Linked DNA regions of Daphnia pulex. The protein of the gene in region 2 purifies or fractionates together with the protein of the main gene of each other region. This does not show direct contact. Links are inferred from orthologs where the notes say so. Each region holds a gene or a part of one and is shown on either strand. Other genes may lie near its edges.

Region 1 (4,331 bases), on a different chromosome or scaffold from region 2:
ATCACATTACATATTCCTCATGAATCATAAGTGAAACATTACGTTGTTAAAATTGAACAATGTTCAGGTTTAACGACGTAATTTTGGAGCCACGCACAACCGTTTTTTAGACCTTTTTAACCAATTGCTAATGAGGATTCGCAGCTGTTGAAAGTGCGAGAATTGTTGTCCTCTCATGCTACCAGTTATTAAGTTAACCCACTTCTAAATAACAGCTTTAAGGAAAACAAATTGAAGAAAGTCCAGATTCTTTTTGTTTTAAACATTTTTAATATCTAAAATTTGTTGTTAAGATTTTATCGGAATTTTTATTGGTGGTAAAGTGGATGAATAATTTCTATCAACTTCTTCGGTTTTGATTTGCGCATTTGTTTTTGGTAAAACTGGAAGCCCGGTCACTAGATGTTTGTGCCATTAAATTTCTGATTTTATCTGCCTAGGCCTACGGGCCCTTACGCATTGTTATTGCACTTTTCTTTGCCAAAGTATCTTTCCAGAATTTAATTGGTACTGATTGTTCCAACTGAGTGTGTTCCTTACGCCTAATCTCCCACTCCCTCACTCACTCCCTACCCATAAAAACCCAGACAATTCTCACCTGATTGTTTCACCTTGTTCTTCCCGACAAGATCGACATATTGCGCATTATTATCACTTCACTGTCATTATCATGATGGTTTTCATTAATATTGTGGTGGTGTAGTTTGACAAGCAATTTTTATGTATGTTGATGAATTTCTTTTTTGGACAGAAGAGTTTTGCGTCAGTGTTATCGTTTTTTCTGAGGTTTGTTTCATTTATCGTGCAATATTACACAATCAGGCCGTTATTCGCGCTTGTTTAAAAGAAAAACAAAACATTCATTTTGTTTCTTTTTTAAAAATTCTTTTTGAAATGAATTAATACTATTTCTATACATTTCAGGTAGAATGAGGAGTGGCTCACTCATTAAGGAACTAAAACAGCAACATCTACGCAAAACGAGGTATATTTTGCCAAGAAAAATTGACAAGTACAAGGGAGGAAAATGCGAGACGAGACTTGAACATACATTCAGGTGAGATTTATTTACAGAAGAGATGATGCACGATGCACCCACAAGTCATTTGAATCGAATAGTGTTACCCATGTAAAGTGGAGCTACCATTAACATTGATAAGACGTAGGACAGCTATAGGAAAAAAAAAACATGGGACTAGGAAAAAACAAATTGCACATACTGATCAACGCGTAGCTACAAGGATTTTTTTCTACACGCACTTGTTTAGCAGGGGATCATTTCATTCCTAAAGTTGCTTGTCAACAACAAGTTCATTACGACGTAATCATGGTGATTAAAAATTAAGTAGGTGAGGGAACGGTAAACAATCGTTTCTTTTCTTCAACATTACCAAATTGAGTTCATTAACGTTTCGTAGGTAATAAAAACCAACTTGCAGGTATGATAGAGCACAAATGGAAGTGGGGAGTAGGTGGCAAAATTTTGAGTAGTGTTGAATCCAAATGGCATATTGCAAGTCAACAATAGTTCATTATGTAAAACTTTGAACGAAGGTAAGACAAAGTATAACGGGAAGAGTAATAATGAATGGCATTTGGGAGAGCGCATGCATAAGTTGGCAGCAACTAGAAATTTGTTTTTTTATTACTAACGTTGGGAGTGCTGGTAGCCATTTTCGAGTTCTTGAAGTTGCAGGCTACGCCGATATTCTTCTACTGTTCGGTGAATCGTCAACTGCGAGTACTTGCATTTCGGCGATTGGCACGAACACGTGAATGACTTATATTTGATAATCCAAAATTTGTCACCATAATCAAAAGCCAGCTCTTCATTGGCTTCAATATCTCGGACGGCGAAGAATGCGATGCGCGGAAACTTCAAATCCTGGTGGTCGACAAAAACTTTTACCGGAATTAAGTTAGGTTCACAAGAGTGGTTGATGAAGCGGGCTATATTGCCATAACGGCGGGCGTCGATGCAGTAAGTTTCTCCGTCCTATTAACAAATATTAATAGGTAAGATCATGCAGCAACTTTCGCTTAAGTACTTTTTCATTCATAAACTTACCTTGTTATCCAGATCGAAAAGATATGAATCATCCTCACGTTGATCAGCTTCAAAGTCTGTGATGATTTCGCCAATGTATCTACGAGATGAGATAAACAAGGTTATTATCTACGAAAATCACGACAAAGTTCGGGTGCACTTACTCGCAGACGTAGGATCCCATAGGAATGGGTTGAGCTGTTCGGACGCCCCAACCTTTGTTTTCGATGCGGAAAAGAACTAAACGCGAGGTAATTCCATGTTGAACTAAACGGTTGTTGCACGATCCCCGATGACACTGACATGCACGATTGCATTCGAACAACATTGGCGGATCTGTTGCAATAATTCTAAACGTGTTAGTAATTTTTAACATAGGCTACTTGTATCCAAGACTTGCCTGCGAAATTAAAGTCGGGCACCAGTTTGCCTTCTTCGTCGTACCAGCAACGAAAGCTGAGACTAGAACAGTTACAGTTGGTTGAGCAGTCACCAACACATTCGCAAAACTAGAATTAAATTTTGTTTAACTTATTTTTCTATTTAGTAGTTGTAATTTTAACAATACCGTTAGCGAGTTGATGGTTCTGTCGACATGTAGTGGACTCGTGAAGCAGTTTTCTGTGATGTAGATAAAGTCGTTAGGCTTAGGCTCATCGTCAAATCCATTTACACACTGAATCGGGTTGGCCTCTTTCCCTTTAGTGATGTCGCTGTAAAACAATTGAAGAATCCGTTGATTTAAGTCTTCTTTGAATATGTCTTGTACTGAATACTTGATCTTACTTTGAGAGGAATTTTTCAGAGTCACAATACGGCGTTTGAGTAAATGGCTGAAGTTTCATATTGACCGTCAACAATAAAGCCGAGTCACACCGCTTATCAGGACAAACCTCTAAAGCTAATTGATTCTCTTTATTCCTTAGATCGAAACGCCCGCCTCTATGTATCAGGAGCAAGGCGCATTCACAGTTATCTCGACGACTTGCCGTGTGCCTTTAATTGCACAATGTAACGATAAAGAAATCAACTCATCCTGAAAATGAAACAAAAATCAACTTACAGTGGAGTGTCGCCATGAACGTTGGCAGCATTCACTTCACATCCTTGGTCAAGTAGAAGGGCAACAATATCAACGGATCCAGAGAAAGCAGCCCAGTGCAAAGCAACGTTCTGCTCCGCGTCTCGCACATTAGGATTTGCCTTACATTGAAGTAAGTATCTAAAAGAAAAGTTATTTTATGTAGAATTGACCTCAGGTTCAGTAAATGTTTGATCATTACTTGACTATGTCTACTCGTCGATGTTCACAACCCCAGACTAGTGGTGTCCATCCTCCATCGTCTTGAACGTTGATGAAATTTTTGCCATTTCCGATTGTCATGATGTAATGGCAAGCTTCTAGATTGCCATTTTTGCATGCTAAGTGAAGCGCAGTCATCCCTCCTTCTCCCTGAAAAACGAAAGTACCCCCAAAGTTTAGAACAGGAATTAATAACTGTTATTTAATAATGTTTTTAGACCTTGAGCGATGAACAAGACCCAGCCATGGCTAGATATTTGACAGTTTCATTGTGACCTTGAATCAAAGCCAAGCTTAAAGGTGTATTTTGCGACTGATCTAACTTGTCAAGTGCCGCTCCGCTTTGCAAAATGATGTGGACCAATGCCAAATGACCGCCATAAGCAGCGGCGTGAAGTGCTGTTTGGCCGTCTGCATCCTGGTACGTCATATTCACGTTATGACCTTGCCCTACGGTATCAACAAAAATTTCATTAATAGCAGATCGTTTTCTTATTTCTTAAACTCCCCCTTACTTAAACACTCAACCACTCGTTCGATATCGCCGGTTTTAGCCGCTACGTAAAGACTCTTGTTGCTTGACGAACTGGAAAAATCAAACGGCCATTTAAGTGCAAGGATAAAATAATAATTCCAGTGAAATTAACACCTTTTGCCAGAATTTTCGAATGACTTTAAAATGCGCTGTAACATCTCATTGTTAAGGGATGGAGGAACACCATTAGAATCGATTACTTTGCCGGACGGTAAGACAAGCTGAGAGGACAGATAGCGGGGGCAGGGCATTTCCGAAGTGATACTTGGTACAACACGCGAGGGTAAGCGAGATATCTTTGCAGTGGGTCTAAAAAAAAGAAAAAAATAAGTAATTTCATTGATTCTCTCATTAAATGCGAAAAAATAAAATATTTACATTGTTTTTAGCAGTTTCGCATCATTACAGAACACGGGTACTGCACAGGTTTTCATCTGCAAGCGAAT
Region 2 (5,505 bases):
CTGGTGGCGGCTCAAATTCCCGCTCAGCCGGGTTGTAGGCCTTATTGAAATACATGCGGTTAGGTCCACCCCGGACAAATTCTTCAATGGGTTCATCAATGGCAGTGCTGCAGACAAGGACGCACTTGTCTACAACTTTGTTTAACTCCAGTTTGTGTATCTCATCCGACCAGTAGACCAAATTCCAGTCAGAGCGAAAGCCTGCATCACGCCCCAAATGGGTGTCGGCCGGACGGTAGATGCGTTTAACTTTTAGACAGACTTCACGAGCATTCAAATTGTTGTCTAAAATAAAGAAATCACGTTAGACACGAATGAATTAAATATTAATTGTTAATAATTAACTTACGCAGGATGCCATTATAGGCAATACCAACGACATAGCCAATACAGAATGGGTCGGGTGTGTCGTTATTCGATCCTTTGATGTTGTCCGTTTTCCTGTACTTTTCTGGGTAATATTCTTCGTCGTACTCTACTCCGAAAATATCATCTTCCTCTGGATCAATCTTCTCCTTTTTAACAATACTCCCATCTGGCCCCCGCATTGCATAAGCGCCCGGTTCGAGGAAAACGGCTTCACCGACTTTGATATCCAATTCGTGCCATGTGACGCTGTCAAAACCGCCTGAATCCAACTTGTTGCCCAATTTGGCAAAATCACGTTGGCGGATAACATCCAGGCGATCACAGCAGGGACATCCTTTGATGTTGTTTACTACGTCCGGGCATTCGGGTGGATCTTCAAAACGGCCGGTCCGTCCATGGTAGAGATAGCGGTACCAAAACGTCGTGTCGGAATGATCTTCTTCGCTCTGAAATAAAGACGGGTCATCTGATCCACCTTCTGCTTTCCATTTGACGGGATCCACTGGTTTGTACTTGACGTTGACAACTTTCACGACGGCAGACAGGAGTAGGTCTTCGCAATCTTCAATCAGAACAAGTTCTCTGGGATCGTCGCAAGTTTCTCCCAGCACAGTGTCAGTTCCACGGCAAAACCAGCGGGCGTGTAGAAACTGCTCCCCACTTTTCCCATCTTCCCATAAAGCTATGACTTCGGCAATATACATGGGAATGCTAGGATCATCCGGTTCGATGGTGACGTGGCCTCCGGCAAAGACGCGCATGTCTCCGTTGACAATCGCGGCAGAGTAGAAAGTGAGATCGTCGACTTCTTTCAATTCCGGTCCATCCCATTCAATTTTGTAGGCGTGGCGCTTGACAGGTTTTTTGTGGTCGACATCCAGACTCACCACCTCAATTTCCGTGTCGAGAACAGCGTCCAGTTCGTCATCGTCGTCTGCCACTTGAACAGCTCTATTCGGACACTTCCGGAGGACACAACTCTGTTTGCTGCGACCGGAACCGCCAAATTTCACCATGTCTCGACAGAAATTGCACTTACCGCAGTCTGTTTGCTGGCAGGCTTCGCAAATACCACAGCGAGTACGGCGAGGAGCAGACGTAGGGCCGAATTTGTCCTCTCCTTGCTCCATTTGATCACGGAAAAAGCTCTCGAAGACGTAACCAACCAATGGCGTAGTAGTAGCTTTTGTCCAGTTGGGGCCTTTTTTGGCTTTAGGCTGGCGTCTCTTCTCCAATTTTCGGGTAGCTCTTCTCTTACCGAGTGTGATACCTGACAATTGAATCAGCGTACGCATACACGGGCTAAGAATAAGTGGCGGCTCGTCTTCGGCTCCAGCTGCATCAAAGTGATATACGCGATCGCAGACAAATTCGGCGTAGCGCAAAAGAGAATCCTCCGATACGCGGGAACCATTGGGCATCAAAGAATTCTGCAGTCTAGTCAGTAGATCTTCATATTCGGCGTTGTCGTCTTCGATCAAGAGCTCGATGACCGTCTTGCTCAGAAAAATCTTTTCTTCCAACTCGTTCATGATGGGTTCGTACAATTCTGAAGCCGACATTAAATAGTAGTCAGCATAAGAAGTGGCGAAACCTGAAAATTGATAAATGAATACAGGAATATTTTTAAAACATCTAATTAATAAATTAAAACATACACATGATTGCTTTTTCTCCTCCATCGAAGCCACTGATGAACCACTCGTTGATGGGCCCGATCTCTTTCGTCGCAATACCTCCTTCGACACCCGGGTTATCGTTCCACACAGGCTTAACGTAACCATAAGCGAAGAGTAAATGGTTAGCTTCGATTGCACCCCCGTCTAGATGACATAAATGGCCAGGTTCGTCGTAAATGCCAAACTGGGTGAGCTTCAAGATGGGTCTTTGATCCAATTCTGACATGACCTCTTCTTCACCAGTGAACAAGCTCAACGATGGATCAGTTAGAGCAATAATTTCTTCAATGGAATCTGCTGGTGGACCAGGGAAATATTTCAAATCAGGAGAATCAAACCTTGGAAATGAAATCATTAATTGATTTTATGATAACAGACAAGAAAAATAATGATTAAGTTACCTTTGACGACACACATGACAGCGATTAGGATCTTTACGGTTGATTTTCTTCTTCCTTGATGGCCTATAGCCACCAATATCTGGCAATTCTACCTTTGCATGCCTGCTGGCAGTTCTTCGTTTTTTTTTTGTGTTGCCAGGAAGGAAATCATCGTCCCCCTCACCAGACGCAGCAGCTTCATCAAATGTATACCTAACTTTAACTCCTCTTGTCTTTGACAATACAGTTACTGGTTTAGATGTTGGCTTATTGGCTTCTTCTTCAACTGTTTTGGGCATCGGCTTGGTTTCTTCTTCAACGGGTGTAGTGTCTGGGCTTGATTCACTATTAGCTTGAAGTTCTGGGGGCTCTTCTTTCACATTGACTTCATTTCCTGCAACCCCATCACCATCTGTGCATTCTATTCTCATTATGGTTGTCAAATATACCTATAAAAATACCAATACACTTGAATAAGGCAATTATTGTAAAAAAAAACAATGCTAAAGCACATTGTTAACTGTCTAGTATGTTTTATGTATCGGGAATAATAATTCTACTTAAACTTACTTGTTGAAAATTATCCACTGATGGCCGACGTGACTTCTTTAAAAAAAACCTAAAATAATGAATTCGTAAAATCAAAATCTCTCACTGACAAAGCACTGCCAATTCAACTAACTCATGGAGTCATGGCTCTCAGCTGATCGTTTTTCGCGCCTTTTTATGGATTATGGAAGACAGTGCCAGAGACAGTGGTGCCACCTTCTAAAAAAAGACGCAATCTAAAATAAAATGAATAAATGAAAAAATGATATAAGATTATAAGATTATAAGAAATAAAAAAATTTAAATTCAAACTTTCTACAAAGTGTAAGAACCGTGCGTCCTTCAATGCGTGTATCGACGTATAGTACACAATTCAATAATTACATGAGTTTGAATTGCGGTATTTAAACTGCATTTAAACTACCCCAAATGAGAGAAGATGAATGTTTAAATTCTGGAATTTATCCCAGAAACCGTGAAGATGATAGCCTACGTTTGATGAGTTCACTTCAAACGTATGCAACAAATAGAAGATGATGACCTCATTATTCCCGAAACGATAAATCATGGCTTCATTAACCTTGATCATTATTCACAACTTTCTTTTTTAGTATCCTACTTTTATTTATCGATACTAATATAGATATTTCGCACGAAAAAAAATTTTTTCCCTTCTGTTTACCTTACTAGCCATGCACCGAAATAAAAAGTTGACGATCTCGTTAACTGCGGACTCCAGCAAACGTGCATGTTTGCAATAAAAAGATGGACCCCATTCACAAACTTGCTGTTCTAAATTCAGCGCACCCCACTAGTAGTGAGTCACGTACAGACTAAAATGTAAAAAGTCTTTGAAGGTGGAATGAGTGGAGAAGTTCCTTTGCTAAAAATCGTGTGTATTTGTTATACGGCAACTTATTATTATGTAAAGAGCGTGAATTCTCTCTTTACAGTTGCGTTCGTGAGATTTTGTTGTGTGTAAGTTAGGTTAAGGAGCAACTCAGTGAATGTTGAAATTTCTGGGTACTGAACTAAACAATAATAATAATAATACGTATGGCAAACAGAAAGGCACCTAACTGTGTGATCACGGGGGGAGGGGGTTATGAACAAGCCAGTTATTTATATTATTTTGTGAATTTTTAAAAAAGTATCAACTAATATTTTCGAAGAGTAGTCCACTGGTATGTAGCGACGAAACGGTTGACAGTGGCGGTTATTTCCCTCCTTCACTTGTGTTCAGTCTGGAAATTGATTGCCCAATCAATTACCGGCCAGTAAGAGTCATTTGCCAGCTGAAGCTTGCAGATGGTTTTGTTGCATTTCGACATCTTCTCTACTCTGTGGCACGAGGGCCATGTCTCGACGAATGGACGGCTGGAAGAGTCTGGAGACGTAAAGGGCCTGTTTTGAATTCAACACACAAGAATCAGTTGGCCACCACATCTTAACTAACAGCCGTCTGTTGTAAATTAAAAAAGCGCTGATACCGTTAAGGAAGCAGCGATGGCGCCGATGAGAAATCCCGACAGCACGTCACTCCTGTAAACAAGAAAAGAAGACATAATAAATCCCAAAAGATTGATTGCGCACTAAAGGGGATTTTGATAGTCTTAGAAAGTTTAATTATAAGTCCATGGAAACGCACCAGTGGTGTTTGTAGTCGGAAACTCGGGAAAGGCCAGTGTACCACGAAAGCATTAATACGCATATCTGGATAGTTGGCCGGAGTAGCTTTGAGCCTGACCAGTTCATCCGCCGTTGGAGATAGAAGGCCAAAAACAGCATCGTGTAAGCCGAAAAGGAAGAGTGACCAGATGGGAAAGACAATCTAAATGCAGATGACGAAAATGTGCAAGGTTTTAAATTATAATATTTTTTTATGAAGTCAGCGAGCGTGAAGGTTCAAAACAGAACCTTCCCATATTTTTCGTTTGAGTTCTATTTACCTAGATTCCCGAAGTAGTTTTTCGTCGTCACCCGTACATTTGTAATCGGTGATATAAGTAGGCGGTCCGTCCAACGGACATAACTGAGCAAAGTTTTCCGGCTGACAGACGGCAATAAAGTGGGGACTGTAAATTTGAAATATCACGTCATCAAAATCGATGATTCAAGAGAAATAAGAAACATGAGGATGGCAAAGTTCCATTCTGTTAGTTATAGTAGATACACACCGGAGACGGCCGATGGTGTATTTGCCAAAATCTGTGGCCAGCTGTGAGCAAGCAGCACCGAAGAGAAAGATGGCAACCAAGTGGACCAGCTCGGCGATCACGGAAGGTATTCGAATAGCCGATGAAACGTTGATTGTTGAAGCACTGTTCTGGCGCGTCAGCCTCTTAGAGTTGTTGGAGTTGTTTCTCCATCGAAATATCTCGATAATAATCATCTGTTTGAATGTTTTAGAAAGACAATGTTAAAAATTATTATTCTCGAGTCATATTTGGCTTGTCGCTGACGGGTTAGATCGATCCATCTAGCCAACGGTATCGTTAAAAAGAAAACCAATAACGTAGAGAGAGAGA

Evidence for each region. Proteins that work in one complex are often made in the same cells at the same time.
Region 1: the proteins of DNA (cytosine-5)-methyltransferase 1-like (region 2) and histone-lysine N-methyltransferase EHMT2-like purify together in Homo sapiens (affinity purification with western blotting; 3 studies listed by BioGRID, with this or other methods). This does not show direct contact. The link is inferred for Daphnia pulex from reciprocal best matches to the Homo sapiens genes DNMT1 and EHMT2.

Annotation. Positions count from the first base shown.
Region 1 is NC_060028.1:9,378,962-9,383,292, forward strand, and holds the end of histone-lysine N-methyltransferase EHMT2-like, read right to left. Parts: coding exon 4,264-4,331; intron 4,195-4,263; coding exon 4,000-4,194; intron 3,937-3,999; coding exon 3,866-3,936; intron 3,801-3,865; coding exon 3,571-3,800; intron 3,501-3,570; coding exon 3,331-3,500; intron 3,270-3,330; coding exon 3,111-3,269; intron 3,044-3,110; coding exon 2,834-3,043; intron 2,761-2,833; coding exon 2,616-2,760; intron 2,557-2,615; coding exon 2,448-2,556; intron 2,384-2,447; coding exon 2,212-2,383; intron 2,148-2,211; coding exon 2,069-2,147; intron 1,997-2,068; coding exon 1,649-1,996; 3' UTR 973-1,648; downstream 1-972. UniProt on the Homo sapiens protein: Histone methyltransferase that specifically mono- and dimethylates 'Lys-9' of histone H3 (H3K9me1 and H3K9me2, respectively) in euchromatin.
Region 2 is NC_060019.1:5,827,630-5,833,134, forward strand, and holds the start of DNA (cytosine-5)-methyltransferase 1-like, read right to left. Parts: upstream 3,169-5,505; 5' UTR 2,999-3,168; intron 2,878-2,998; 5' UTR 2,860-2,877; coding exon 2,450-2,859; intron 2,387-2,449; coding exon 2,028-2,386; intron 1,964-2,027; coding exon 350-1,963; intron 286-349; coding exon 1-285. Other genes in the region: putative phosphatidate phosphatase, read right to left, coding at 4,262-4,381, 4,468-4,519, 4,626-4,808, 4,927-5,052, 5,155-5,369. UniProt on the Homo sapiens protein: Methylates CpG residues. Preferentially methylates hemimethylated DNA. Associates with DNA replication sites in S phase maintaining the methylation pattern in the newly synthesized strand, that is essential for epigenetic inheritance.